Diceros bicornis minor: one gene and its partners. The protein of the gene in region 1 interacts with the protein of each later gene in a biochemical or structural test. Links are inferred from orthologs where the notes say so. Each region holds a gene or a part of one and is shown on either strand. Other genes may lie near its edges.

Evidence for each region.
Region 2: the proteins of LGALS3BP (region 1) and LGALS3 form a complex in vitro, tested with the Homo sapiens proteins (4 studies listed by BioGRID). The link is inferred for Diceros bicornis minor from reciprocal best matches to the Homo sapiens genes LGALS3BP and LGALS3.
Region 3: the proteins of LGALS3BP (region 1) and LGALS1 form a complex in vitro, tested with the Homo sapiens proteins (2 studies listed by BioGRID). The link is inferred for Diceros bicornis minor from reciprocal best matches to the Homo sapiens genes LGALS3BP and LGALS1.

Annotation. Positions count from the first base shown.
Region 1 is NC_080757.1:58,721,606-58,732,039, forward strand, and holds the start of LGALS3BP (galectin-3-binding protein), read right to left. Parts: upstream 4,030-10,434; 5' UTR 3,927-4,029; coding exon 3,906-3,926; intron 1,940-3,905; coding exon 1,864-1,939; intron 797-1,863; coding exon 605-796; intron 1-604.
Region 2 is NC_080763.1:5,217,093-5,226,927, reverse strand, and holds the start of LGALS3 (galectin-3), read right to left. Parts: upstream 4,501-9,835; 5' UTR 2,551-4,500; coding exon 2,533-2,550; intron 1,889-2,532; coding exon 1,553-1,888; intron 1-1,552. UniProt on the Homo sapiens protein: Galactose-specific lectin which binds IgE. May mediate with the alpha-3, beta-1 integrin the stimulation by CSPG4 of endothelial cells migration.
Region 3 is NC_080764.1:12,073,034-12,083,441, forward strand, and holds LGALS1 (galectin-1), read right to left. Parts: upstream 4,344-10,408; 5' UTR 4,247-4,343; coding exon 4,238-4,246; intron 2,984-4,237; coding exon 2,904-2,983; intron 1,777-2,903; coding exon 1,605-1,776; intron 1,300-1,604; coding exon 1,153-1,299; 3' UTR 1,100-1,152; downstream 1-1,099. UniProt on the Homo sapiens protein: Lectin that binds beta-galactoside and a wide array of complex carbohydrates. Plays a role in regulating apoptosis, cell proliferation and cell differentiation. Inhibits CD45 protein phosphatase activity and therefore the dephosphorylation of Lyn kinase.

The DNA of each region.
Region 1 (10,434 bases):
TCACCGTTAGAGGACATGAACCTGACAGAGTTGCTCACAGGTCTGCTAACTTTAAATACAACAGGATTTCTGTGTTCAAAAGACTATACTAAGTGCTTATTCAAATCTCGTCACACAAAAGCCAGATTTAGGTCTCTAAGAATCGTAGCCTTCCTTCTCACAGTCTGTCTGCTTCATAGACATCGAATTAGTATCCCACAATTTGTGCATCTTCCCTGTCACTGAATATCTAGATTATTTCCCTTTCTTCAGAATCGCAGCCACTGTGTCAGTGACAATCTTCCTGCACATGGACTTTTCTTTTGGGGGAAATTGTTCCAAGAAGATAAATTCCCAGGAGTGGAGCTCCTGGGCTGAAGGGAACAAACACAGCTGAGCTCCTGAATGAGGTGCCCAAGAGCCCTGTCACCAAAAATCACATCACAGCATGAGCGAGCCAGGCCCGGGAGCTTCACCAGCACAGGGCTTCAGGGTTAGCTCCAGTGCTTGCCAGGGCTAACTGATAGGAATGCCATTTGCATGTCGTAGGTGACGGGCCCTTCCTGGGACTGGCTGCCTGGCAGCATGTCTCAGCTTTGGCAGACCCGGGTACCGGCAGGCCTACCTGGCCCAAAGGCGGCTCTGCCCAGAGCCTCAGTGGCGTTCTCAAAGCCCAGGGCCCGGCAGACAACGTTGGCGTCTGTCAGGTCCCACAGGTTGTCACACACTGTCCCCCACTGGCCTCTGTAGAAGATCTCCACGCGGCCCTCATTGGCGGTGTCCCCATTGGCCAGCCGCATGTCACCATCTTTCACACCTGCAGGGCTCCCGAGGGAAAGCAAAGGTCAGCGGGAGGAAGGTTGGGTGGCTGGGTCTCCATCCAGGCTGGCAGCACTGACCGCCCCACACTTCTGCAGGACTGTGTGCTTTTGTGGGGGCAGTAAAGTTCCCCCCAGCTGGGGTGACCACTGGACAATTAGCTTTAAAGTCCCCCATCCAACCTCGAGGGGGTTGCCCATGGGGGAGGAGTGGAAGATGTGCATAGCCCCCCCAACCAACACATAGAAGGTAAACTTGCCTTGTCTTGTCTTCGAGGTCTCAGCCCTTTGCTCCGTTGATAGAAAAGGGGCAGAAGGGATGCTTGGTGCACAGCACTGAGAGTAGGGGTGCAGGACCCCAGGGAAGAGTGGGGAGGGGGAAGGGGCCCATGCTGATCCCACCTGAGGGTGTCTGGGCCTGGGGGGGCAGCCTGTGCACCACAGCAAGGATTGCTGGGAGGTGTCTGGGGGAATGCCGGGGGGCAGCAGGCCCAGGGACCCCCAGAAACACAGGCACAGAGAGAAAGTGGGGTCCTGGCCCCATATTCGTTCTTCTAGGACTCAGCTCACTGACATCCCCAGCCAGCCCCTCCCGGTGCTGACAGGGTAAGGCAAGAGCTGGGTGCCATGTCAAAGGGCAATTCCCAGTTAGGGGTGCAGCAGGCCACTTGTGGGGTCACTAGGATGAGGAAGGGGCTCCTGGGCCTTGAGGTGTAAAGAGCAGGAGGACAGATGTCTAGGAGTCTGGAAGGCTGACTGTGTCCAAAGGGCACTGACCTCATGACCCCCAGCATTTGGCTTGTCCAATGTGCCCCTCCTACTGCGTCCCTCTGGTTCCCACTAGGTGGAATGGAGAAGCACTTGGTATCCACCTCCAAGACACAATCCACCATGACTCGGGACAACTAGGGTCAAGCAGGAGAGAAGACCCAGGCTGGTCCCGGTGACCCAGGCACTGGACAGCACATTGCCTAGACTTTCTGCAAGGAGAGGGTCAACCCCGTAGAGCTAGGGAGCAGGGGCTTCTCCAACTGTTGCTTCTGGCATTCCCCAGGGCTCGGCTCACCTTGAGTCCCTGTGACCAGCAGCCACATCCAGAGGAGCTGTGGGAGGGCCATGGCCTTGCCTGGGAGCCCCTCGTCCTGCAGCAAGAGGCGGCAGAGTGAGACAGTGGAGCTGGACAGCCCTCAGGACCAGGCCCAGTCTGTCCATCCATCCTTCAGACCCTACTTGTGGAGGACAGCTGGTGGGCGCGGTCCCTGCTCCCGCAGAGCCGTGAGTATGAGGAATGCCCGCTGCTCTGGGCACCCCAGTGGGAGTCCCTCACCTCATCTGAAGGGTGGTCCTCCAAGAACGAGTAAGACTTGCCCAGATGAAGGGGGCGAGCAGGGGGTGTCTCGAGCAGTGAGGACAGTGGAAACAGGAGCCCATCTCAGAAAACAAGGCCCTGGGTGTGGCTGTCAGTGGTGACGGTGAGGAGGATGGAGAGGGAGGAGATGGGAGTGTGCAGGGCCCAGATGAGGAGAGGCCTGGTGAGCCTTGCTAAGCCGTATCTTCAGGCAACGGACCCCTGGGGGAGTGCCCAAGGTCTGCAGCAGATAAAGAACATTCTGGAGTTCTGGACCATGTGAGCCCTGGAAGGGAGGGGAGTGAGAGCAGAGCAGGGGGACACATCAGGAGGAGGCCACAGTAACCCAGGCCAGGAGCGACAGAAGGACAGGCAGCAGTGAGAGATGTCAGGCTTGGTGGGGGGGGTTCAGTGGGGGTGGGGGGGAGAGAGGTCAGAGCTGAGTGCTGAGTCTCTGTGCAGCTGGTTGGGGGGGTGGGGGCTAGACTGGGGCTACCGGGACCAGGATGGGGAGGAAATGCTGAGTGGGCTCGGTGTGGACCTGGCGCTGCCACCTGTGAGGTCAGTGTCCCCAAGAAACAGAAGCTTGAAGAGGCTGGGGCCACCAAGGCCACACAGCCATCTGGTGTGGGGGAACCCAGGTCTCCCAGGTTTTGCCTGGAGTCCTCGCCTCTCTGTAACTCTTGCTGCTTGCTCTTCCTCTTCATTCCCACCCTGCCCCTCACCTGCCTCCCTCCCCCCGTATCCCGGACCTGGAAGAGCCAGTCATTGTTTCTCTGGCTCAGTAAGAATCCTGTGACCGTCCCCACCCCCCGAGGTCCAGCAAGTGGGGGATGAGGCCGCTGTTGTGAGAGTCCCTACAAGTCAGGGCTGGTCACCTTGAAGCAGCACCCTAGTTCTGCATTAACAAGACCCCTGGGCTCCTAGGCACACTGATCTGTTAACTGGCCTTGAATGGGCATCCCCTGTGCCAGGGCTGCTCACACGCACCAGCTCAGGGAACCCTTACCACGACCCCTGAGAAAGGCCTTGTTAACCCTACCTGACAAGTGAAGGAGCTGAAGCCCAGAGAGGTAACTGGCTCCGCATCACACAGCTGGTAAGCGCAGGTTGGGGCCTGCATTGCATTGAGCTCAGCAGATGGCTGGAGGGGCCAGGGTGACCACCATCCAGTGTGCCAGGGACTGTGCCGGTTTTAGCACTGGAAGTCCTGCGTCCTGGGACATGCTGTCAGTCCCAGGCAAACCAGGATGGTTGGTCAACCTCTACACTCCCTGGAGAGCCGCTGCCACCGGGTTTGTTTGTCCTGGGACAGGAACTCAGGGTCCTGGAAGATGGCCAATCAGATACCTGGTGCACGGCATGCAAATGTCGCTGCCCTTGGGATGGCAGGGGCCACCTGTTATTGCCTGACTCCCTCATATGGGAAGTTGGATGGGGCTGCCCTTGACCCATACGGTGCCTTTGTGCCAATTAGAAAAAGGGGCTCTTCCTTCGGGTGAAGGGAGGCCTGGGCCAGAATGCACAGACAGGTGAGAGGGCCGTGGGCTGAATTCCAAGACTTTTTGCCCCTTTGGCTGGTGTCCCTTTGCAGTGAACAACCTGCACAACTGTACACAGAGGCCCTACAGATCTGGGAGAAGCAATGATGGTCCCTGGGCTCAGGAGGAGCACCAGATCCCCAGCTGGGTGGTGCAAACAGGGAGACTTGGCCCCCACTAGATGATGCTGTGTAGAGAGAGCAAGAGGCCTGAGCTTACCTGCCAGAGGCAACTGCTCATGGTGGTCCTGGGCCTCCCACCTCCTGCTGCAGGAGCCCTCTGCAGACTGTCCTTCAACCCAGAAAACCCTCCCAGTGCAGAGCGTGGTCAGGCTGGTCCCTTCAGGAAATGCTTCAGAAAACTGATTCTAGTTTCGATTTTCAGAAACCACGTGACAGATTTCTCCTGGGGCTGGCTGCTGACAAGGCTCCCTGGCGCCCCCCTCCTTCCTCTCATCCCTGACTGTGGGTGTCGGGGATGGCAGCAGCCCAAGGCAGCCGTCCGGCTGACTCGATAACCAGAGCACGACAGCTGACAGCCACATTTGAATTTAAACCCTCTTCCAAGCTGGACCAGCGCCAGGGGCTGGCATCGGGGAGGGGAGGGGAGGGGTGGGGAAGCAGGGGACAGCAAGAAGAGCAGAGGGTGGGCACAGACAGGCCGGGTCTGCATCCAGTGACCGAGGGGTCTTAGTATATGCTCCGATCTGTTTCCTGGTCTCACACATTGCCACAGGGTGGACAGCGCTGGAGTGGCCACTCATTCCCAAGTCCACCCTACTCTAAGCACCTGACATGCCTGACCTCACAGAAAGGGCCACACCCCGCGAAGCTGCACAGTGTCGTCCCCCTTAATGGGGGAGGGAGACCCTGAGACATGAGACAACATCCCCAGAGTATGCCACCCACCCCAATAATGGTCATTCTCCCGGCGTCTCACCCCCAGTGGGGCAGGAGACAGAACCTCTGGAGTGGACATAAATTGTTCTACCCACCTCACCCCCATTCTCTGTCCTCCAGCAGAAAGCCAGCACCTCGATTTTTCCTTGGAGAAGCCCTCCTCTCTCACTCCCAGACCGTGTGGTTCTGAGGGCCCCAGGCTGCCCTGGGATCTGACCAGGGCCTGGCTGATCAGAGCCCTGTGGGCCCCTTGGCCACACAATGGTGTCAGGGACAGGCCGTGATCCCAGCCAGCCCAGCGAGAGTCGGCCTCACACTCATGGAGAGCGACCCCATGGGGGCATGTGGCCTGGAGCTACTGTGCCGTGTGCCCCAGCCTGTGCCCGAGGAAAGCCCAGCTGAGGCAGCAGGTGGGGCAGAGCTGCGAGATGGAGGAAACTAGGTTCCTGGGTCCAGCTGGCCTGAAGCCAAGGTCAAGCCTGGGGCTTCACAGTTAAATGAGGCAATCAACGCCCTCTGTTTCTGTCACTGGCATCCCAAGGTTCTGGACGAGGGTTATCCCTTTGTAATGTCCCCAGGTCTCTCTAACCCAGTGGCTGTCGACCTGGTCTGCATGTGAGAATCATCCAGAAGTTTTACAAACTCCCAGTGCCCAGACCCATTAAGTCACAACCTCTGGGTGGGGACAGACATTGGCATTTAAAAGCCTTCCAGGTGGCTCCAACGTGCAGCCAGGGCTGAGAACCACCGGGTGAGACACACTGGCAGCCTGCAGTCCAAGAGGGCGAGCGCCCAGGTCAAACATTCAATGAATATTTGCCCAAGAAGTGAGGTTTTGGGGGACTCCACAGTTCATCTAGTCCCCTCCAAAGAAACTAAAGATGCAGGGGGCGAGGCAGCTAGAAATAGAACTGGCAAAACAAGACACTGGAGTGAGTTTTAAAATCCCATCCAGATCAAGAGCCTCAGTTCTCGCTGACACAGGAACTCCAGCATTGTCACTTCTTATGGTCTCCGTTGATTTTATCTCAAATAAGTGGCCAGTCAAGGCCTGGAATGCAGAGGAAGTCCTTTGGCAGGTGGTGGTGGAAATGTTTAAAAACTCAAGTTGCTGAATCTTTAGCCAAGAGTCCTGGAAAGTCCTTCAGGTCCAGGCAAATAAAATGTAAGATGGAGGCCTCAGCACAGCATCACAGCACAGTATCTGCTCCCCAGGCTCTCAAGGCTGTTCCAGCCTTAGGTTCCCATAAAGGGAACGTGGAACGGGAGCTTGAAATGATCTGCTCCAGAGAGGAGGGGCTCAGTTCTGATAGAGAGACTGGGAAAGTCCCGGACACTGCAAACAATTGGGCCCAACTGTGACAGTGTGGACGATGCTGCTGTAATCTGGAAGCCACTGCCAAGACGTGGCAGGGAGAGTGCTGGGGGCTTTCAGAGACAGAACTCTTAGCTGGTTTACAAGATATTTTTTGTGCCTCTACTCAACCTCCCCTGCAGAATACAGGAACATTACCTATAATGCTAATATTGATGCAGCCAGGCACTATTCTAAACCTGTGACATGAACTGACCCATTTAATACTCCCAACCACTATGGGAAGTTGCTGCTCTTATTAACCCCTTTTATAGATGAGAAAACAGAGGCACAGAGAGGTGAAATCTGCCCAAAGTCACACAGCTGGAAGGGAGAGAGCTGGGATTCAAACCCACACACTTCTCTCTCTCTTTTTTTTAATTGGCTTGAAATATAATTTACACACAGTAAAATGCATCAATTTAATGAGTTTTGATAAATGTATACAGATGGTAACCATGACCATCATAATATACAGAACATTTTCATCATCCCCAAATGTTCTCTTCCGTCTCTTTGCAGTCAGTCCCCTCCACCAGCCCCGACCCTGGCAACCACCGATCTGCTTATTGCCATGCAGCTTTCCCTATTCTAGAATTTCATAAAAAGGGAAACATACTGTATGTAATCTTTTGTAAGCTTTTGAGATTCATTCCATCACTGTGAATATCAGTAATTGGTTCATTTTTTTGCTGAGTAGTAGTCCACTGTATGGAAAGACTATAATTTGTTTACGCATTTATGCATTGGCGGACATTTGGGTCGTTCCCAGTTTTTGATTATTATGAATAAAGCTGTTAGGAACATTTGGAGACAAGTCACACAAGTCTTTACGTGAACGTAAGTTTTTATTTTTTGTGTGTAAATACCTATAGATAGGATTACTGGGTCATATGGTAGATGTAGATTTAACTGTTTAAGAAAATGTCAACCTGTTTTCCAAAGTGGCTGAACCATTTTGCATTCCTACTAGCAATTTTATCACCCTTCCAGTGACTCTAAATCCTCACCAATGCTTGGGATTGCCAGCTTTTTAATTTTATCCATTCTAGTGGGTATATAGTGGAATCTCATTGTGGTTTTAATGACTACTGATGTTGAGCATCTTTTCATATGCTTATTTGTCATTCGTACATCCTCTTTGGTGAAGCGTCTATTTAAATCTTATGCACATTTTAAATTGGGTTGTTTATCTTATTACTGAGTTGTATAAGTTCTTTATATATCCCGATACAAGTCCTTTAGCAGATATATGATTTGCAAATTTTGTTTTGTTTTGTGTTCTGAAGAGCAAACGTTTTGAATTTGGTTAAAGATCAATTTATTATTCTTTTGGTGTCATATCTAAGAAATCTTTGCCTAACAAAGATTTTCTCCTATGTCGTCATCTTCTAGGAGTTTCGTCGTTTCAGCTCTTACATTTAGGTCTATGATCTATTCTGAGTTAACTTTGTGTATGATGGGAGATAAGGGTTTCAATCATTTATTTCCATACAGATTAGACTTGTCTCAACACCACTTATGGAGACAATCTGTTTCCCACTGAATAGCCCTGGTACCTTTGTCAAAAATCAACTGACCACATACATATGGGTCTGTTTCTGGACCCTCTTCTGTTTCATTGATTTATATGTCTATGTTTCTTATGCCAATATTACAGTTTTGATTACTTATAGCCTTATATTAACTCTTGGAGTCAGATAGTATAAGTCCTTCAACTTTGTTTTTCTTTCTCAAAATTGAGTCTTCCCATCTGTGAAGACAGTATATTGTTTCACTTGAGTCTCCTTTAATTTCTTTCATCAGTGTTTTGTAGTTTCAGCATACAGATCTTTCACGTTTTGTTAGATTTATATCTATTTCACGTTTTTTGGTGCTACTGTAAATGACACTGTATTTAAAAATTTCCATTTCCAATTGTTCACTGCAGCTATATAGAAATAAAATTAATCTCTATATGTGGACTGTGTATCCTGCAGCTTTGTTAAACTCAACTGTTAGTTCTAACAGTTATTTTTGAAGATTTCTGAGGCTTTTCTACCTAGTTGGTCTTGCCATTAGCAAACAAAGATAGTTTTACTCTTTCTTTTCCAATCTTTATGACTTTCCTCTTTCTTGCCTAATTGCACTCTCTGGGACCTCCAATAAGATGGTTGGTGAATAAAAGTGATGACAGCAATGCCAGTTTCCTGGGCTGTATAATTGTGCTATGGTAACATAAGGTGTTACCACTGGAGAAAGCTGTGTGAAGGGAACATAGCAACACTATACTTCTAGGTGGTTTAAAATAATTTCAAGATAAAAAGTTTAGTGGGGGAGAAAATACTGGTGAAAGCAGACATTCTTGACTTGTTCCCAGACTTAGGAGGAAAACATTCAGTCTTTCACAGTGAAGTAGGATGTTAGCTGTATGTTTTTCACAGATGCCCTTTATCAGGTTAAAGAAGTTCCTTTTATTCCTAGTTGGCTAAGAGTTTGTTTTGTTTTTGTTTCATTTTTTTTTAAATCATGAGTGGGTGTTGGATTTTGCCAAATGCTTTTTCTGTATCTTTTGATATGATCATATGGTTTCCTCTTTAGTCCGTTAATATGCTGAATTACATCGATTGATTTTAGAATATTAAACCAACCTTGCATTCTGGGCAGAAACCACACTTTGTCATGAAGTGTTTTCATTTTTCTATATTGCTGGATTCAACTTGCTAAATTTTTGCTAAGGATTTTTGCATCTATGTTCATGAGGGATACTGGTCTGTATTTTTTTTTTTCTTGTAAACATTTGTCTGGTTTTGGTATCAGGGTAGTGCTGCCCTCATAAAATGAGCTGGGAAGTGTTCCCAATTCCCCAAATCATGGAAGATTTTGTGTTGGTTTGTATTATTTTTTCCTTAAATGTTTGGTACAATTCACCAGTGAAGCCATCTGGGCCTGGAATTTTCTTTGTGTGAAGGCATTTTATTTTTGCTTTATTTAAATCTTTTAACAATTTTATTAAGGTATAAGTTACCTTAACATTTACCAATTTAAAGTGCATAAGAGGACAGAATTAACATTTGGAAAGAAACTGATCTCATTTTTTCCACTAAGTCCCGAGATGACTTTTGGGAGTTTCTTTTTGCTGACGAGTTGCACACTGGACACACAAGAGTGCCACACAGGCACGAGTCACTGCCTGCGTGAGTCCAGCCATCAGGACCTCTTAAAGAGAGGCTCAAGACCTGATTTTCAGTTCCTTGCCCCTCCACTTGCAGTTCCTCACCTCGTTCCCGCCTCGCCTAAGGCGCTCTGGCTTCTCCCCCTCCCCCTCCTGGAACTGCCCTCACGAGGATCGCCAAGAACACCGAGTCCTCCTTGTTTCTCGGTCCCTGGCTACTCTCCAGACCTTCTTACTGACGGCCCTGCAGTGTGTGATGGTTGACTCTCCTCCCTGGCTGCACTGCTCAGGTTCCCAGCAGGAAACAGATGGCTCCAAATGTGGATAATCTACAGAGGCTTGAAGAAAAGGGCTATTTACTAGGTGTGCATGAGCAGGGAATAAGGACACCACAGGGGGTAGTGTGGGATCTGCAGCTAGGACCACTCCCAGGCCAGAAGGGACAAAGGCAGGGAGTGGTTACTGGAGCCCAGGCTGGGAGAGAGTGGGTAGAGGGAGCTGCCCTGTAAGACAGTGCAGGACCAACCCTGCAGGAGGGAATCAGGGACTCCCAGCTCATCCCCTCCCTCCTGCCAGTCAGGGGTCAATCCCAGAGGGTTCAAGAGGTTCACGCAGGTCAGGCCCTGGGGACACAGAGCGGGCTGGGGATGGGACAAAAGATGTGGGCACTGGCTTTCATGACACCACACTCTCTTGGTTTCCTCCTTCTCCAGGTTAAGCCTCTCTTCTTTACTAGTCCCCTCCTTTCCCGTTGTTCCTGGGGTTTCATGTTAGGACTTCTTAGGACCCTGCATGTCCTTTGGCATGGTCTCATTTGCTCCTGCAGATTCATCAGACACACTAATGACACCCAGATCAGTCAGCCCTCTCACCCGAGCCCCACCTCATCACCAAATCTTCCAGATATCTCCACTTGGTGAGCCACAACAACAGAATGGGTGCATGCTAACTAGGCATCAGGCAAGACCCTTATGTGTGTGAACTCATTTACCATTCCCAACAGCTCTATTGTTATCTTCCTTTTGCAGATGAGGAAATTAAAGCATAGAGACGTTAGATAATCTATCCAAGGTCACACAGCTACAAAGTATCAGAGCCAGGACTGGACCTGGGAGGGTTCAGAGCCTATATTCCTAACCATTAAGACCAAAGGAGCATCTTCAGATGTCATCAAAAGTTGGACTGGGTGATTCGGTTTCCAGAAAGGCTCCCTGGTTGGCAAAGGTTCATGGGTCCCTGTCCCATGAATGCCCATGGCACATCAGACATCCTGTGCCAAGAACTCTTCTTGCCTGCTCTTTGCCAGTACTCCCTGCCCCCACCACGCACACAGACAGAGCG
Region 2 (9,835 bases), on another chromosome or scaffold:
CTTAGACTGTTTTTTAGGAAGGCTTAAGCCAGACCTCACAGTCAGCATTAACATTTTGTGCCACTCTTAAGACTCCTTGTCACATAACATACTTCATGGTAGTTGTTCTGCTCCCAGACGGCAGGCATTGTGTCATGTTCTAGGGCTTCTGAGTTCTCATACTGTCTACTCACGTGACACCAGCAGAGTGCTTTGAATGTGGCAGATATTTGATATTCGCGGAACGGACACTTTCCAGTTAGTACCTTCCCTAGTTCATTCTGCAAATATTTATTGACCCTCTGTGTTCCAGGTGCTGTGAATACTCCCAGAGCTCTCTTTGGCCTCTTCTCTTTTCCCTTTATAATTTCCCCCTGGGTTCAACTATCACCCAAGTCTTTTCTCTCTAGCCCTGATCTGTGCTAGTCCTGTACTTCCTCCTGCCGTGATTTGCTCCCGGTGCCGCAAATCCAACAGGCGGGAACTGGAATTGTCTCCCCCGTCTCGCCCCCTTCAGGTCTCCTTCCTGAGTTCCCAGTTTGGACTGACCCTTGGCTGGTGCTCTAGTTGTCCAGCATTGAAAAGCCAGAGTCGTCTCTGACTCCTACGACTTCCCCACTAGATCCTGGGGTTCTTCCTCTGCAAGCTCTCCCACATCTGCATCTTCCTTTCCACAGCCTCCGTGTCCCACTCTGTCTGCACCTGACTAACCTGTGCTCTAGGCCCTGCTCAACGCCACCCACACCCCCAACGCTTTCTTTGCGCTGATGCTACCCGTGCCGTCTTCTCCATAGTCCTGAAAGGGTCTGACCCACACTGTTATGGAACTCTTTCCTCGTGTCTGCATCTACCTCCCAACTAGGCTAGACATCTGAAAGGGAAGGATCTGTCTGAGACGTGTCTGGCGCCTCCCAGAGTTAGGTTTTACACTTAGAATTCATTTACTAAAGTGTGTTTTAATATAAATGAAAATTCAATCCTTAGATCGCAAAATAATCTTTAGAACGTTTTTTAAAACTAGATCGCCTTGGTTCCCCCACATGTTCCCTCCATGACCCTGGGCAAGTTATAGAACTCTGGATTGCTCCATCCCCACCGTGGAAGATGGGGATAATAATACCATCTTAGGGGGTGGTTATAGGATACCTGAGCTCATCCGTGTAGAAGCACACTGCTGGCATGTGTTATGTACTCAGTGTTTATTAATAATAATGGCCAAAACTTCCCCCATTACTATGATTTTAACTTGATTTATACTAAAGCTGCTTTACAGATGCCTTCAAAAGATGCATTTGCTTCTCTTTATACTAACAGTACACATACTAAACTCAGTACAAACAACTATTTTTTCTATTGGACCAACATACACCATGGCTGGTCCTTGAAAAAGTGGCTTTAAGCCATGAGTTTAAAGCTTCAGTCTCCCTGAAGCCCTCTGCAGGTCAGTGCCAGAGCCAGCCCCCAGCCAGAGCACTGCAAAGTGCTGGCACCACCAGTCCAGGCAATTGCTGCATTCTTCATTAGCTTTGTCCTGCTCTCAATCAAGTATATGGAATGACTAACTCCATCCTACCAGTGGTCCGGCAGGAACGCCATAGGGGCCGGCAGCAGGGTAGGCTCCAGGAGCATGTGGTGGTCCAGGAGGCGGGTAGGCCCCAGGCCCACCTGGTGGTCCAGGAGGTGGGTAGGCCCCAGGCCCACCTGGTTGCCCAGGGTAGGCTCCTGATGCATTTGGTCCAGGATAAGCAGGTGTTGTTGAGCCAGGGTAGGGGCCAGGAGGTGCCTGTCCAGGGTAGGCCCCAGGATAGGAGGCCCCTGGGTAGCCCCCTGCCCCAGCAGGCTGGTTTCCCCATGGACCAGGCCATCCTTGAGGGTTTGGGTTTCCAGACCCAGGTAAGGCATCATTAAGCTGAAAAGAGAGACATAAACAATTACAGAATGAAAAACATTCACAAAAACAGAATTTTTAGGAAAAGAGAAATATGTGATCTAAGAAGTAGAGGGATATGGTGAAGATATGAAATTCACATCAAAAAACTTTTTCCACTGATAAATAGTTTTGAGTTCCTAAGATTAAAATTAGACTTTGGGATTACACATGCTTTATCACTTCATTCTCAGCTCTCATCAACTCAGATCATGGAGGGTTGCATTTTCATAATTTGCTAAAGTAGGGAGCGAGCTGTCCTCTGTAAAAGCACATACTTTCTAGCACATGTTATGTACAATCACAGACAGCAGGACGCTCAGCCTGCACCACATTTCCTGTTGCTCAGTTTATTTCTCGGCTCCTTCCGGTGGCCTCCACCTGCTTCTGTCCCAGGTGAAGGGGTTACCACTGTTAGTGAGTCCCAGGCCTCTCTCGGCCTGGCTTCCTTCCTGAATCTGTGGCTAGAAAACAAAACTCCAGCTAACAAGCCCTGACTGGAAACGTGAGGCCAGCGGAAGCCACATGGTGGGAGAGCTAGCAGGAAAGTCTCGTGGTAAAAAAAAACAAACCTCAACCTATGTGGAATGTATATTAGGGCAGGAAAACAGACATCAAACGCTTACCGAAAAACCGTCTGCCATTTTCCTGAGAGGAGAAAAAAAAAAGATGTTATCACATGATCCTAAAAGATTTCACCGGTTTCCATATAAATTTAACATCACAAATAGTTCATTGTGCAGTTCTAGTCAACCTACAGGCATTCTTCTAACCCAAGCCAGTCCATTCCCCAAATACGCCTATATCAATAGTGTGGAACCACAAGAGTGTCTTGTCAAAGGGCAGCAGGCACTCCAGCTGGATCACCGAGCCCCATTTAGCTCATAACTTTAAACTCTAACCACACGAGCCTGTGTTCCAAATCCTGGGAGTAACAGGCCATACAACGCAGGAAGGAGGAGAATAAGGAAGAAAACATTCTGCCCCATCCCTCAGTAACAAATAACAAATGTCTTGCATTTATCTTTGGTCCTCCTTCACCTGCCTTCCTGTGCTCTTTTCCACCACGTCTTATTTTTTTCTTATTTTTATTTATTTTTCGTGTGTGTGAGGAGATCAGCCCTGAGCTAACATCTGCCAATCCCCCTCTTTTTTTGCTGAGGAAGACTGGCCCTGGGCTAACATCTGTGCCCATCTTCCTCCACTTTATATGGGACGCTGCCACAGCATGGCTCAACGAGCAGTGCGTCGGTGCGCGCCCGGGATCCGAACCGGCGAACTGCCGGCCGCTGCAGCAGAGCGCATGCACTTAACTGCTTGCGCCGCCGGGACGGCCGCTCCACCACCTCTTACAAAGGGTTCAGCGTGTTGATATCGCCACCTCCCCTCCCAGCCCCACAAACTGGTCCATGTCTGGGTTTTAGGAGGAAAGCAGAGTTGGTCTATTCCCGCTGAGATTTGAAAGACATGCCACCCACCCCCGCAAGAAGTAATTGCTGCCGATTATTTATTCCTTCATTTGCACACATTTACGCCTGCTCTGGGCCAGGCACTGTGCAGGCTCCTATCTGCGTGTGAGGAGGGACAGGTCAAGATCCACACGGTCCAAGGGCCCACAGGCCCCAGGGACCACAAGTGATCAATGCTGTGAGTCAGACCGCATGTCGTGGAAAGTGACAACTGGATCAATTACTTCTAAAAGGGAAGTGCTGTTTGAGCTAAGATTTAGAGGAAAGCTGAGATTGGGATGTGGAGAAATGAAGAAGAAAAGTGGGCATAAGGTGCTTGTTTTTTGTTTTTTTTTTTTTGAAGATACTTGTTACTGCAAATGAACTCTATGGCAGTATAACAAATAAGGTTAAAAACAAAAAGTCAGGCAATGTGGAGAAAATATTTTGGGGTAGGATGCTACCAAAAAGGGTTGGCCTTGCCCAAAGCTGCCTCATGGGGTGGCCTTGAGACATCACTCTTGCTTTCTCCTGCTGCTCCCCCTGTGCCAAGTCCCTAACCGCACACACGATGTTTCACACCTGCTCCCATGGGAGACACTCCAGCAGTGAGGGGAGGGGGCTGCTTCAGACTCCCGAGGCTGGGTGAGTTTTCTCAGCTCATGATCACCTGTGCTATGGCCAAAATTCCCTGGACCTTAAACAATCAGAATCTCTTTTTCCTTGAGTTACTCACTTGTGAAATTTACTCAATTATGTTAAGAAATGACATTTTCCCAAGGGATCCAATAAATGGCAACTACCGGATAGGTCCTAAAAATGTAAAACATTAGATTTTTTGGTAGAAACTCAAACAGGTAGAGCTCCTTCTAGGACTTAATGTGTGCTTCATTTACACACACCAGATATTTTATCCTACTCTGCTGTGACTTAGATCACAGTTAAATATTACTTTCCACTAATTTCTTTTTGCACATCTCTTTTTTAACTTGGGCATTCTCAAACATATTTGGAAGCAGTTAGGTTATCACTGTGCCCATCTTCCCAGGTGGGAAACTGCTGGCAACTTGACTGGGAAGTCACAGGGACTCTTCCGGGCTCATATTCACTGTATTTCCTATAGTATTTGACCTTTTCAAGCAAGAGTCCGGTGCTCCTCTGCTTGTGCTTCCTCCCCCCAAAGGCTGACACGCCCAGAGAATGTGCTGCGGCCGCAGAGGAACTTGAGAGCAGAGCAGTTACAGAAAAGGAAGAGGAAAGACATTTCTTCAATCAAGACAGTAAAAGCCTCACTCATTGTGGACACCAGTAGGAAACAATCTCGACCTTCACACGGGGCAGAGAGCTGGGTTCCTTTGACTAGACAAACTCTTCTTCCACCCCTGGGCAGCATACCCAAGACCCAGCAAGAACTTGATGAGTGTTCTGACTTGTTTTAAACACAAACACCCCACTGTGTAGGGCTGCTTCCCAGCCTCAGCACCACTGACGTTTCAGGCCGGACACTTTGTTGTGGGCGCTGTCCTGTGCGTTACAGGATGTTGAGCAGCATCCCTGATTTCAACACAGAAGGTGCCTGTAGCCCGACAGCCCTGCCTCAATTGCGACAATCAAAAATGTTTTAAGACCTTGCCAAATATCCCTGGAGGAGGGGGAGAGGGCAAAACACCGCCTGGTGAGAACCCTGGTCTCAGCTGCCGTGCGTCCCCACGTGAATGCGCACACAGGTGGGCACATGCACAAGGAGTGCCGATTGTCAACCCTAGCTAACTCTGCCCCACAGCCTCATCAAGGGTCCCAGCAACATGACTCAGAGCAGACTAAGATGTGTTTAAAAGCTGATTACACCCAGACTCACGTAAAGACAGCATTTCCAAAATTCAACATTTATTCTTTTCAAAGTCTCTGCTCGAGTTTATTCAGTTTATTTTCCAACCCGAGCAAAACAATTTGAGAAACAAAGCAGATTTCACTTTATTTCCACTGTGTTTCACACAACACCTCGGATGACACTTTGGACTGTGTTGTGACACATTAGACAAGCCCCTTAGAATATGAACACCCTGCATTTGTGTGGTGCTTTTCAGTTTACAGAGCACTTTGACATACCTGTTTTGATTCTGATATGATTTCATCAGACTGACAGGGGAGAGTTAATATGCCCACTCTAGAGAGGAGAAAACCGAGACACAGAGAGCTAACGTGGTGGCCCTAAGTCGTTGTGTCATTGGTGGGCCAAGGACCAGGGCCCAAGCATCCTGACTCCTACTCCAGGCTCATTTTACACCAATAGAAAACCTCACACTTTGAAATTTTAAAGTAAAATTCTTTGAAAGTGTTAATTACTTCATTTAGAAATTAATCGCCTGGCTTATTCATTCAGAACTACATATATGCAATTGTAAACAAATTAAAAAAGAGATCATGTTTTTGTCAGAAAACTAGCTGGATGACACACAGTGTGCAGTGATATTGAAGACAAGGGTGCCATTTTGCACAGTCACTGTGCTAATTACAACCACATTTAAACCAATAAAATGTATTTTTCCAAAAATTGGGTATGCACTGTTTTGATTAGGTCAACTCCCGACCATCAGATCTCTTTTTTGAAAAGGGTTATAACCAATGCTCTTTTGAAATCAAGGTTAGCAACTTTAGAACTTAAAAAAAATCTATTTGGATAAATAACTGCCTTACTTGCCTGGAAAATTTCTTTCTTTCTTTCTTTCTTTTAGATGAGTAGCTTATGCAGAGAGAGACAATCAAATGTAAAAAATTTCCACACTCTACGGATACTATAGATATGTGAACTCTGTCCTGGCATTTCCAGAATCAGAGACTTTTGAAGAGCCAGAAAAGAAACATTACATCAAAGACAAAGAAAAATAGAGGAAATAAAATACTACCTGGGTCTTCACATTTGGAAAAACCTACAGGAAGAAAGTAGTTCCAGTATCACTTTGGAATATGGAATTTAAACACGAGGCAGAATGTAGACCATTTTAATCGGCTGTTAATTGTAGCTTTTCCCCTTGATAAAGAGTGGCTGTCCAGTGTACTATGTTATTCTAGGGCCCACCTAGCAATTAATCCAGTTCCCCAGCTTCCCAGGAGCACTTGTGAAATTTCTGCTCACAAAGGGCCCTGACCTTTATCCGAGCTGTAGGGTAAGCAGATCCTGAAGGTATTTCCGGAGAACCCCAAGGCACTGCCCACACTGCTCTCCAAAGGACACAGGAGACGCCGTCTGCTCCCTGGCCCTGCTGAAACACGGAGCGGGGCTTGAGGAAAGTCCACTTCCCAAAGCCAAATTCAGTGATGCTGAGTTGGAATAAAGGAAACTGGTCCTTTACTAGGATTTCTTTCTCATTATAATTCCTCAGCATCAAGGAAGGTAAAGCTACTTTGTGCCTCTCAGTTACTGATTTTTTCCCCAGGGAAAAGCTGAACATCAGTCAAGAGAGAACACGTGATACTTAGCAGCAAATTGGAAGTAGACAGCAAGCACTGCCCTGGCAGGCACACTCCTCAGCATCTCCTGAGAAGAACCAGTTCTGGCACCAAATAGCACGTTCCCAAGTGACCCTCAGCAGGAGGCCCCGTCCCAAACCACTGCAGGAAAGAGGCCATGTTTCAGATCAGTCACCCTGAGTCTCAGGTACATTAAGGTGACAAGCCAGTTGGTATTAAGGTCAACATGAGGTTCTCAAGTTATACTATATGAATATAGGTCTCCGCTGCAGTCAGTATTTAGAGTCTGGCTGACGAGGGTTCTAGGGAAATAGGTACGTAAATTATAGGTGAGACCAACATTGGCCTTCTGACCTCAGTAGCCATAAGTGAAAAGTCTTCATAACGAACCTATGAATATTTGTAGCACAGTGAGATATCAATAAGGACCCCTCAACAGAGCAAGACTTGCCTATCCCATTCAAATAACTAGCTTTGGGGTCAGTCTGTCAGGCAGTACTCCCCCTCTTCTGCTACTTATGTAACCTGGTGAGGCATCTTCCTAATACTTCTAAGCTCAAAACATTCAAGGACCATCATCAAACTTTTCCCCAGAATTTGGAGTAAGTGCTGATTCTGAGTACAACCCCCAAATGTTATGAATTTGGGAAGCAGCTCCCATCTCCCAAAGATCAAGGATGAGGCACAACCATCCAAGGGATCAAGACTGGACTCTAGGGATTCAAAGTCAATGTCTGAAGAGGAGACTGTTGTGAAAAAATTAATTTTTAGTATTAAGTTTTAACTTTTATGGAAACACAATTTCCCCATACAAAAGGTAAACTTTATAAACTTGAGGCAAATGAGTCAGAATTTTGGAAGTTGGTGAAAATTCTCTCATGCTCTGTGCCCAAGTGGTCAATTTTTATTGCTATCATTTTCTTCAGAATTAACTGAGACTGTCTTCCATTCTTTCCCAGAATTCTAGAAACAGACTGGGTCACGGAGGTCCAACTGTCCTCATTGTCCAGCAACCCAACTCCCAGGAGTCACCTTACAAATATTCCTATACAGTGTCTGGACTAGGAATCGCTAACTTGAAGGGGCCGGCCTGAAAGCCAAAGTCACAGCCTCCACCCCTGTGTTCCCGACTCCCTGGCATTGAGCTCCTGCTCCTCAGAGTGGGTGCATTGTAGTGTTTTATTTGAGCAACTGATAATTCAGAATAAATCCTGGAGCACGGTTTAACAGCACCCCCCCGCCCCCCCCGCAAACCCCCTAGAGCTCTGCACACTCGGATCAACATTCCCTCACACTCTAGACATCCTCCGCTCAGATCTGGGATCCTTAAACCCAAATTAGCCAGTCTGGGCAGAGACGAGTCACTGATTTGCAAAAGCTTAGGGTCTGCGGTCTTTGCCAAGCCGGACACATGCCCACCGAGGCCTTGGGGCAGCACCATTCTCGTGGGATCGGCATCCAGCGAGCGGCTGCAGGCCCTGACGCTGCCGGCCGGGCCTGGGAGGAGAACTCGTCGGCGCCCCACGGCAAGACCAAGGGGCGGGGCAGCCAGGTCACGGGTCAAAGGAGCGCCCTGTAGAGGCCTTGGCGGAACCCCCGTGTCCTGGGGAAGGGGACCTGGCTCCTAACACCCAGCTGTAGCGGCCGCTGGGTCGGACGAGCGCGCCCACCCACCGCCCACCGGCGGCGGCCGAGCGGCGGAGGCGGGGCGCGGCCGGGGCTCCCGGTGGCGCAGAGGGGCCCTGTGCCCGCGGCCGCAGACCCCCGCCCGCCCCACGACGTGCGTGAGGTTCCGTAAGGCGTCGCTAACTTTCCCCGGGTCTCAGACTCCTCTCTCGGGGGCTCAAGGGCTCTGGACCCCTGCCCTGAAGGCGCCCACCGCCCTGCCCCCGGCTCTCCGCGCGCGCCCGCCCCCCTGACCCCAAGAGACCAAGCCCCCTCCTCAGGCGCCGCAGAGCCCCCCAGAGAAGGCCGCGCTCCGAGCCGCGCCCGGGCGCCTCGCCCTGCAGGGGGGGAGCCGCCCGTGCCCGGCCCCAGCCCCGACCCCGTGCCCGGCCCCGGCCCGGCGCCCCGCGCCCCTCACCCCGCCCTGGCACTCGCTGGCTCGCTCGCTCCGGGCGGCTCCTGCGAGGTGCTGCGGTCCCGGACGGGGCGGCGGCTCCGCGCCTCTAATACCCCGCCCGGCCCGGCCCGGCCCGCCTCTCCCGGGGCGGGGCCGCCCCCGCACCCCGGCCCCTCCCCGCCGGACAGCCGGGCGCCGCGGCTCCGCGCGCGGGGCAGGCGCTCCTGGCGGGGAGGGGGGACGCCGGGGGTGTGTCGCGTTCTCCGCCCTCTCTCCAGGTTCCCCTGCTGACTCCTCGGACGGAGACAGGCGAGTCCGCGAAGGTTTCCGTGCGCGCTTCTTGAGGGAGCTTTGCTTGCTCGCTTTAACCGTGCTTACCGATTTTCTGCTCGAATCGCAGGCACTCGCATCCCTTCTGCATTTACTTGACCTAAACCCTCTCTCGGCACCGAAGCCTCCCCAAGAAGCGCCCAGTGACCTGTGAAGTTTCTGAGATGCCGGCTGAGGGGCTCCCCTGTTCTGGGCCTCGCGTGCCTTCCCCTTTTGAATTGAGATGTAGGTTCACAACGCTCAGACTCAGAGCCCTGCATTGTTTTGCTGTCTGCTCTCCACCGCATCCTCAGCACCCGCCCAGTGCTGAGTGCCTACTAGGTTCTCAGTAACTGTTTGTTTCATGAACGAATGAACGAAATAATGAATTACTTCCTAGAAAATCTGTCTGTTTTCTCAAAGATTGGAGAGAATCCTGATGAAGAAAGGAATAATTAAATACAAAAGCACCTCTGGTAAAGGCAGGAATAAGACCAAGCTACATTTCTAAGAAAGGTTGTTACGACAAATAGCGATGCTTGCGAGAAAGGTGATATTTATTTGGTATCATTTAACTGGGTAATAGGTGAGTGAAATGGTTAAAGGTGTCTAAGACGGGTTCTTAAAATATATCCACTG
Region 3 (10,408 bases), on another chromosome or scaffold:
GCGCTCCTGGGTACCAGAGCCTGGCTGGTCTTGGAAGACACATCCTCTCTGGAAACCAGGAGAGGAGAGGCTCAGCCAAGGGAGTCTCCCACACTCCTTTGCTCTCCAGGGAGGAGGCTGTGGGCAGCAGGAGGCCTCTGGGAGCCTGGAGGCTGGGCTTCAAGCCGGCCGCCTGCCTCTAGTTCTTGGTTCTCTGCAGGGGCTGGCATATCCCCCCCTACACCCCACACCCCAGTTCCTCCTATACAGAGACGGGCCAGCGGTTGGTGCCAGGGCTATCGCCCAAGCCCATCTGCCCAGTGTTGGGTTGAGGGTCCTGCCCAGGGCCACAGGGCCAGCAGTTTCTAGACTAGCACCCTAGCCGCCCTTACACTCCAGCACTGGGGTATGTGCCTGGGGAGCCCCACAAGGCTCAGCGGGGCCTGCACAGACCAGGGAGTCATGTCATTACCCAGAGCCTGTTCCCTCCCCTTCAAATTGGGGTAATAACATCTCAAGAGGTGGTGCAGCTGGGACGGGAAACCACTACCCGCTAAGCGCTTCCCAGCCACTAAATCTGTCCTCCTCCTCACGGCTCATTGAGTCCTCACAACAACCCTACGATAGGCTACGTGCTGGTATCGCCTTGTATAGATGACTAAATCGAGGCTCAGAGAGGTTAATGTGCCCAAGGCCACACAGCTGGTAGCCCCACACTGTCTGAACCAGCTCTCTTTCTAGCTCATGAAAACAGATGAGAGGGACCCCAGTCATCCTTCCCTCCACCCCGCTCTGTGCTGCCCCGGACACCAGGGCATGGATCCATCTTGTCCTGGCCTCTTGGCCCCTGGTTTCCTTTATTCAACATCTTTTGAACACCTACTGTGTGCTGGGGCCCGCTGGGCTGGGAGCTGTCTGAGGGCAGGGACTGGGTCTTATCTGGTAGTCACCGAGCCCTCTACCGTGTCCTGAGCCCTCTGCTTGGCCCAGGGGACCCAGGGGAGGAGATGTCACTGGCACTTAGTGCATTGAGGAAGCGAATGAAGTGCAGGAAGGGGCAGAGCCTGGGGGTGCTGGCGGAACCCCCCTCTTCACCCCCCCCACACACACAGGAGGCTGGTTCAGCGGGAGAAGAGGCAGCTGCCTTTATTGGGGGCCATGGGCCGGCTGGCTTCACTCAAAGGCCACGCACTTGATCTTGAAGTCGCCGTTGGCTGACAGGTAGTTGATGGCCTCCAGGTTGAGGCGGTTGGGGAACTTGAAGGAGTATCCGTCTGGCAGCTTGATGGTCAGGTCCGCCTGGTCGAAGGAGATGCACACCTGGCGGTGGAGAAGGGCAGTGAGCAGCGTGGACCCCACAGCAGGGGCGACGGCGGCAGGTCACGGGCCCTCCCCGAGCCCTTTCCTCACGCGGCCCTGACCACAGCCCCACTTCACGGGTGAGCTGCTGAGGCTGGGAGAGGGGACAACACTCAGTGGGATCACACAGCAGGTGAGGGGGGAGACAGGAGGGGAGAGGGGGGAAAGGTGGGGAGGGCAGGGTGGGACCTAGGTCTCTGGCCACTAAACCCAGCCCCGCCCCAGTCCCCGCAGCACCCTGCCCCTGGCCCCCAGCCCCAGCCCACCTCCACGACACTCCCGGGCTGGAAGGGGAAGGCCGACTCCCGCTGCTCGGCGCCCCAGGCCCCGCCATCCCTGCTGTTACACACGATGGTGTTGGTGTCCCCGTGCATGTTGAAGCGAGGGTTGAAGTGCAGGCACAGGTTGTCGTTGTCTTTGCCCAGGTTCAGCGCAAAGCTAGGGGCAACAGGTGGGATTGAGGCCTCCTCAGCCCGCTGCAGCCCCCGCGGTCGGCACCGCTCGGTACCCCACTAATACTCCTAGCCAGGAGGACTCCCTTAGCGGGGAGGAGGAAACCTGGATTCTAGTTCTGGCCCTGCCACCTCCTTGTTGTGTGACCTTGAGCAAGTCCCTGCTCCTCTCTGGGTCTCAGTTTCCTCTGCACAATGGGGGCTGCACAAGGCGGCCCTCTTAGAGTCTTGCTGGGCTGACAGCCAAGGCTCTCACAAACATTAGTTTGTGTCCCAGCCCTTTGGGTCAAGGTCGGAGACTCCCTCTAGATGGTGACCTCCGGGAGGGCAAGTGTCCTGTCTGTCCTGTATATCTCTGTACCCCTGGTGCCCGGCATGATGCACGACACACAGTAGGTGCTCAATAACCGTGAGGCAGCGAATGAACAAATAATACTTAATAATACATGTGCCGGGTGGAGATAAGAGCCACGCCCAGCTCCGATGGCTTCCTAAGAATCATATGAACAGCGCACAGGGGGTGTGCAGCTCTTTATCGCGTTATCGGGGTCATCAGCACAGTTATTGAGAAACCCAGCATCTCACTTCCTCTACACAACCACCTCTTGCCCCACTAACTGATTAACACCCAGGATCGGTGTGGTCGGGTGACTGATCCAAGGTCACATGGTTGCTGCTGAATTAATGATGGGTGAAGGAAGGACGAAGGAATGAAAGGTTGAGTGAGTGAGGAACGCAGGAGAGAGGGACCTCAGAGGAGAGCAGGGAGTGACACCCTCCCATCCCCTCTTCCTGTCCCCCGCAGCCTCAGGTCCCGCCCACAGCGGGGGCCGGGGGCCGGGGGGGGGGGGGGGCAGCCAAGGTAGGTGAGGCCGCAGCTGGTTTAGTTTAAGAGGCTCCAGCTGGAGGGAAGGGGGCGACAATGGTGCCCGCGGAGGAATGGTCCAGACCCCGCGGAGGAAGTGACTCATCTGGACAAAGCAGCCTCAGCGGCCGCCGGCTTTAACCCCTTCCCCCTAGGGAGGAGCGAGGCCTGGCGGGCCACGCACCTACCAGATGCGGGGCAGGGCCCTCGGGCTCCGATCCCCCGCCGCCCTGCCTTCGCCCCCTCACCTCTTGGCGTCGGGGGTCACCTCGCCCCGCACTCTGATGCACTCCCCGGGTTTGAGATTCAGGTTGCTGGCGACCAGACCCTGCGCAGACAAGACCACGCCCAGCCGGTCAGAAGACCCTGTCCGGGGTGGGGTGGGGTGGGGCGGAGGTCGTCCCCACCCTGGATCCTCTGACCAGGCCAGCTGGAAGCCTGGAGAACCCGGGTGGCAGTTCTAGCCTCTCTTTCTCTGTGTGGCCCTGGGCAAGTGCCTATTCCTAACCGGGTCGGTTTCCTGTGTGTAACACAACTGAGGTTCTAGAAGCCAAGATCTAGAACTTTGTGCGGTTCAGCTTGGGGATTTTGGATTCAGAGTGGCCTAGGGTGCTATGCCCCATCGCCTCACTTAACAGATGGAGAGAAACCAGATTCAGGGTGAGTCACACTGCGAGTTGGTGGCAAAGCAAGGTAAACGAAGGGGTCTGCTCCTCTGCTGGAGAAGAAGAGGCCTGCAGCTGGGGGATCCCCAACCAGCCCCTTGGAGCCGGCTCCTCTGTGCAGAGAGGTGCAGGGGCTGGGGAGGAGACCCCTAAGGAGCTCTGCACCCTCTGCAGAAGGGGAGAGCCGCCAAGAGCTGGAGTCTGCAGCCTGGCTGGCTCAGGGTTAACAAGATTGAGCCCTGAGCTTAATCAGTGCGAGTGGTTCCTTCTGCCAGAAATTTGAACTCTTTCCCTTGGGGCCTGGAAGATTCTTGCCTCCTTCTCTCTCCCTTAGCTCCTGACCTCCCAGCTTGTGGGAGTGGGTGGTGGGGAATTCCCCCAGCCTTCGCCTGACCGGCCTGGACAGAACCACCCTCCACCCACTAACCCAGGCAGGCCCCCTCCCAGACAGCCTCTCAGATCCTGGCGACTTTTCAGAGCTCTCTAGAGCAGAGGGTGACTCTGCCCTGGCTGGTAACTGGGGACAGCTGCAGGGGGGAGGGGACAGGAGGCTCTTTGGAGTGGAGGAGGAGGGGGAAGGAACAGTGGCCTGGGAGTCATCAAAGTGCCCCCCCCCCAGTTGGCCACACCCTTCCCACTCCCATTTCTCAGAGAGCTGCAGAATGTCAGACCTTGGCAGAAAAAACTGTGCTGTCAGACCCTGGAGGAATCAGAAAATTCTTAAGCCAGAGAAGGCCTTGGGGGACCATGGCGCCCACCCCCATTTTACAGATGCGGCCACTGGGCCCAGAAAAGAAAAGGTACTTGCTCAGGACCACACCGTGGGGACTAGAACCCAGATCCTGATCTGCCCCCACTCTCCCCTGGCTGTCTGCCTCCACCATCCCTGGGCCTTGGGGCGAGGTCCCCACACTCACGCAAGCCATGACTGAGGACTCGAGGATGTTCCTGGGGACTGCGGCACCAGCTGTCTGAAGACTCCACCCGAGAGATGGGCCCTGGGCGGCTCTCGCCCTTTTAACTGGTCCAGACCCTGGTGAGCCCCGCCCCTTGGAAGCTCAGCCAATTGTAAGTCAGGAAAGGGATGGGGGCCACTGGAGGCGGAGTCAATGGAATTCTGAAGCCGGTTCTGGAGCAGAGGTGACCAATCAGAGTGGACACCCCCCCACTCCTTCTTAGTCACTCCTCCAGGGTCCAGGCTCCACCTCCCGTTCTCCTCCATCCCTCCCTACCCCCCCATAAATTGTGCTGTGGTGGGGATTGGGGGAAGCCAATGGAAAATAGTTTGAGGATGAGCTAGGCCCAGGAGTTGGCGGGAAGGGGCCCTGGGGCCAGCAGGCTGAGCTCAGGGGGTACCCAGAGAAGATGGCTGAGGGGGTGCAGGGTCCTTCAGGGAATTCGAGCTGGGGCTCCTGAGGCTGCCCCTGGCAGGGACCAGGGCGTGGCCCGCTCTGCAGACCTCTGCAGAGGCCCAGGACCCATTAACCACAAGGCCCCACCCTGGCCTCCCCCGGAAGCAGGGCTCGTGTCTGCCGCTGTGCTGGGCCCGTGCCAGGCCTGAGGCGGCCGCCAGACTTGGGACTCAGGCCTCGGGCTTCAGCACTTCTGAGGGGCTGGTTGGGGATCCTCCAAGAGCCCCTGCCTGACAGCCTCTGACCTGTCTGAGAGGGTCAGGCCTGGGAGGGGACCCAGGGTGGGCCAGGCCAGGAGGGGTTGGGGGTCCCTGCTCTAGGCACCCCCTGCCCACTCTCCTCACATCTCTGCCTCCAAGGCCAGGCCTTTCCTTTCCCTAACCGGTTAGCAGATATTTTACTGGGCACCTACCGTGTGTCCTGGCCCTGAGCTGGCCTCAGAGGATTCCAAGATGAACCCCTCCCAGTCCCTGCTCAGGTAGCCCATTGCTGGGGCAGAATCTGGCCATGAAACTAACCAAGAACTGGTGTGATGCTGGCTCTAAGGGAAGTCATGAGCAAGCACCACGGTGGGGTGGAGACTGTCCAGAATGTGAAGAAGGCGAGTCTTGAAGGATGAGTGCAGAAGGAGAGACTGGCGTTCCAGCATGGGCAAAGGCTCAGAAATGAGAAAGCACGGGTCTAGGGACTGTGAGCATCGGGGCATGGCTGGAGTTCAGGGTGTGCTGGGGAAAGATGGGGCATGAGGCTGGGAGGCCAGGAGTACCTGGATCATGAAGGGCCTCATTGAGGGGCTTGGACATTGTTTTATCTGAGGGTACTGGGGAACCACAGAAGGTTATAGGGAGGGTGAGTATTGAGGCCAGATTTGGGCTGCAGGGAAGATCAGTGTAGCAACAGAGTTGAAGGTGGGTCAGAGGGGTACTCACCTCGCACCCAGGAACCACTGGGGAGAGGGGCATGGGGAGCACTTGGCGAGGTAGGGGGCTTGCTAGGGGAGTTGTCAATGGGACCTCCTTCTCGTCATTGCCATCCCCCTTCTGAAACTGCCAGCACCGAAGAGGGAGGAAGATGCAGACCAGGAGTGACTCACATCTGGAGGCCAGGCCAGCAAACCAGCCTTGCCCTCCGCTGCCTCCCCAGCCCACCCTCCTCCCGAGGACTGAAGCCCACCCTGGCACAGGAGGAGTGGGGAGTGCACGGGGGGCCACGGGAAGGCCTGGGGAGGAGGCTGGGCCTCACCTCCTGCAAGCCCCTCCCCCCTCCTCCCTTCCCAGCGGGCTGCCTCAGAAACCAACTGTAGCTGCTTCACTTTTCCTCCAGGGCCCCCCCCAAACCTCAGCATAGGCAGGGGCAGGTGGGGCCAGCTCTGCTGCCTTTCCTCCGTGTTCCCCCTCCAAGGGCCCAGACACCCTCTCCATCTGATGGAGAAATGGCGGCATTTCAGCAGGAGTCCTGCCCGGGGACCAGAGGTGCTTCAGGCACAGTCCTCACCCAACTGCCATCAGGTGGGCCTGGCTGGCTGTTCCAGCCCAGAAGTGGGGCTCCCCCGGGGCCCCAAGAGCTGCTCCTCCATTCTTCCCCCAACCTGGAAGACTGGCCCAGCACCAGGAAGTGTTTGCTATTGGATGAGGGGCTGCTTTCTTCCCCTCCAGGGTCCGGCCAGCTGAGGGCTGGTAGAGAGGGGGCATGGCATTGTGAATAGGCCCCCTGGAAAGGCCCCTTTGGGAGTCTGGAGACTTGGATTCTGGTCCTGGCCCTGCCATGCCCTCCCCAGGGCATCCTGGCAAGTTGCCTCTCCCTGCTTGCCTCAGTCTCCCCATCTGTAAATTGGGGAGGTGAAACCCTGCTCTCCTGCACAAGGTTAGTACAGGGTGGAGTTCAGGTCTGTTGTACTCAATAGATGATTGTTTTTTCCACAGTCTTAGAAGGTTTTAGCCTCCCTCTTGTCTGTTTTCCCAGGCTCTCCCACCCTCACCTCATCCCCAACAGTCCCCTCCTGCCTAGGCTGGCAGAGAGTCTCTCCAGATTCTGGGTCCCCTATAACAAGGACTGTGGTTTTCCTGGGGGAGGCAGGGACAAGGTGCACTGTGACCCCACTCCCACCCCGTCCTCAGGGCCTCCTAGTGGTGGCGCCCACTTATCTGCCAGGCCCTGTGCCCGGCGCCGTGCTTTCATACATTATCTCATTTCCTCCTCACCTCCCCGCTGCTTCGTGTCTGCCAACTGGGTTGAACGTCTGCACAGGGAAGCTGTGCAGAAACGAAGCTGACGTTAGAATTGGGAGAAGAGAGGCGAGTCCTAATTTGGGGGTTGCCTGGCTGTGACTGTGGCCAAGGTCCTGGACTTCTCTGAACCGTTTCCAGGCCGGGGAATTGGGAATGTTACCCACTCACCAGCTGGTTGGAAGATTACAAGAGTGATGTGCGGGACTCAGCATTAGTTCTCTCTCCTGTACCCGCCAAGGCCAAGGCCCCCCACCCTGGGGACTCTCCTCCTCTCTCACCGCCCTGCAGCAGAGGCGGCGAGCTCTGTGGAATTCCTCTCTTCTACAGGCTGGTCCTGTGGGCTGGACCTTGGCTGCTGCCGTGAGAAACGAGCTCAGCTCGTTTGGACTGGGGATCCAGGCCCTTCCTAGCCTTCGTCCTCCTGCCCTGCCCGCTCCTGCTCTTTCTCTGTGAAGGCTGCGTCTCCTCCAGCTGGCAGTGGTGGGGAGGGCTGCCAGGCCCACGAGGATACCATCCGCAGCCCCCAGCCGACCTGGCTGGCCTGGCCTGGGAAGGTGGGGGTGATCAGAGCCAGCTCCAGAGTCCTAGAAGTCAGAGCAGGGAGGGACTGCAGAGATACTGCACCTGACCTGCTCCTTCATTTAATGACACAGAAACTAGCAGCAAGAGTGGCCACTTGGCCAAGGTCACACAGGGAGCTAGAGCTGAAGCCCTTTCATCTCCTAAGCCAGGGAAAGCACACTGTGGTCCTGGGGTACCTGGACCTCAAGAACGATCTTTTCTGGATCCTGCTCCATGAAGGGTAGGAAGGACTAGTGGGGGGTGCCCCCAACTTCAGGCACTTTTCCAGCTGGTTTGTGCGAGAGCCCGCCCCCACTTACCTGCTCATCCGTTCTCACCTCTGCCTTTGCTGGTGCTGTCCCCCCTGCCCAGACAGCCTCCTCCTCAAACACAGTGGACCTGTCACTCTCGCCCTCCCACCTGGTGTCTGTCCCCCTTCTGAATACAGGCCGCTGCTTGCCTTTGGGGACCCGCTCTTCCTCTCATATGAGGTCTGGGCGGGGTCCAGACTCTGTCATTCATTAGCCCTCCAGGGCTCAGGCATGAGTCCGTTCTGTTTTTTTTTTTTTAATATTTTCTTTTGAAATAATTATAGACTCACAGGAAACTAAGTGCTTTTTAAGAGCTTAGAAAATATTTGAGACCTGAGGAAAAAAATGTATTGGCTCCAAAATACTAAAATTGCAGAGCTGAAATTCATAAATGTTTACTGTGCTCCAACTTAAAACTTGGTAGTCATAAAAACTGTATTACATTCGAAAACAATTTTGTAGGTTGAATTTACTTACTTTGAAAGTGTCCCACGTATTCCTAGAGGTTGGTCACCCCTAAATTAGATCCCCACAGCCAAATAACGTCTAAAACAAAAGTATAAAAGTACCTTGAGGGGCTGGCCTGGTGGCGCAGCATCTGCTTCGGCGGCCTGGAGTTCGCGGATTCGGATCCCTGGCGTGGACCTACGCACCGCTTGTCAAGCCATGCTGTGGCAGGCATCCCACATATAAAGTAGAGGAAGATGGGCATGGATGTTAGCCCAGGGCCAGTCTTCCTCATCAAAAAGAGGAAGATTGGCAACTGATGTTAGCTCAGAGCTAATCTTCCGCGCACACACACACAAAACTGAAAAATGTGTAACGGGGCTGGCCCGGTGGTGCAAGCGGTTAAGTGAGCGCGCTCTGCTGCGGTGGCCCGGGGTTTGCTGGTTTGGATCCTGGGCGTGCACCAACGCACTGCTTGGCAAGCTATGCTGTGGCGGCATCCCATATAAAGTGGAGGAGGATGGGCATGGATGTTAGCCCAGGGCCAGTCTTCCTCAGCAAAAAAAAAAAAAAAAAAGAGGATTGGCAGATGTTAGCACAGGGCTGATCTCCTCACAAAAAGAAAAGAAAAGAAAAAGTGTAGCAAAAACCCCCACAAACCCCTATATATATATTTAAGGTGGGATATGGATGCATTTTAATGTTTTCTATCATGGGCCTGGGGCCTGTGTTATCAGGAGAGTTTTTGGCTGCAAGTAACAGAAAAATCAACAAATTGCTTTAAAATTAAGGAAAACTTTCGTATAACAAGAAGTCTGGCACTAAGAGGTTTCCAGGACAACTTAATTCAGTGGCTCCATGAAATCATCAAAGATCTGGGTTTCTGTCTGATCAGGGATTGTGGCCGGGGAGACGGTCCATGCTCTTCTGCACAGCCGTAATCCACGATTAGTCCTTGCTTAGGCAGATGAGCTGAAGTATTTGGGATGAACTGTCTTTACATCTGCAATGTACTCTCGAATGAGTTTACAGTTTAAAAATGTAAATATATATCAAGAGCAATTAAGCAAATTGGGCAAATATTAACAACTGGGAATCCAGATGAAGGGCACGTGGGTGTTCATCGTGCTGTTCTTGCGCCTTTTCTGTTGGTTTGGAACTTGTCTAAATTAAAAGTTTAAATTAGAAGGGGAGTGTGACATAATAAGAAATGTATATTTGGTCTCTGACCCCAGTTCCTGACCCAGAGCTCCTAAAACCCTTGTAATTTCCTAGATGCTAGGGTGCCAAGAGCATCTTGTGTTCTAATATTTGGTCTTTGACCCCAGTTCCTGACATAGGGCTTCTAAGTGCCTTGGAATTTCCTGGGTGACAGGAGCGTCTTTTGCTCTAATGAGGTGTCTCCGGGTGGGCTCCTGGATGGCTTCAGCATGAGGGCTGGTCACCAGAAAGACCAAGCCATGAGCAGAGGTTTGGAACTTTCAGCCCCACCCCCCATCCTCGGGGAGAGGGGCTGGAGATTGAGTTCTGATTGATCATCCCTACACGATGAAGCCTCCATAAAAATCCCTAAACTACAGGTTTGGGGAAGCTTCGGAGTTGGTGAACACATCTGCCTGCCGGGAGGGTGGCACACCCAACTCCACGGGGACAGAAGCTGCTGCACTCGGGACCCTTCTGGACCTCACCCTCTGCATCTCTTCGCCTAGCTGTTCATCTGCATCCTGTATCATATCCTTCATAATCAACTGGTAACCTAAGTGTGTCCCTGAGTTTTGTGAGCTGCTAGAGCAAATTATCAAAACTGAGAAGGGGGTTGTGGGAACCCCTGATTTATAGCCAGTTGGTCAGAAGTGCAGGTGACAACCTAGGACTTGTGACTGGCATCTGAAGCGGAGGGCAGTCTTGTGGGACTGCGCCCTTAACCTGTGGGGTCCACGCTAACTCCGGGTAGTGGCAGAATTGAATTAAGTTGCAGGACACCCGGTTGGCGTCTGCAGGAAACCGCAGAATTGCTTGGTGTAGAAAACCTACAGTCGGTGTCAGAAGTATTCTGTGGTTGGAGGAAACAGTTTTCCCTCTTAGTTGGTATCAGAGAAGGGGATTTGCTAGAGTGGCCCTGGCTCATG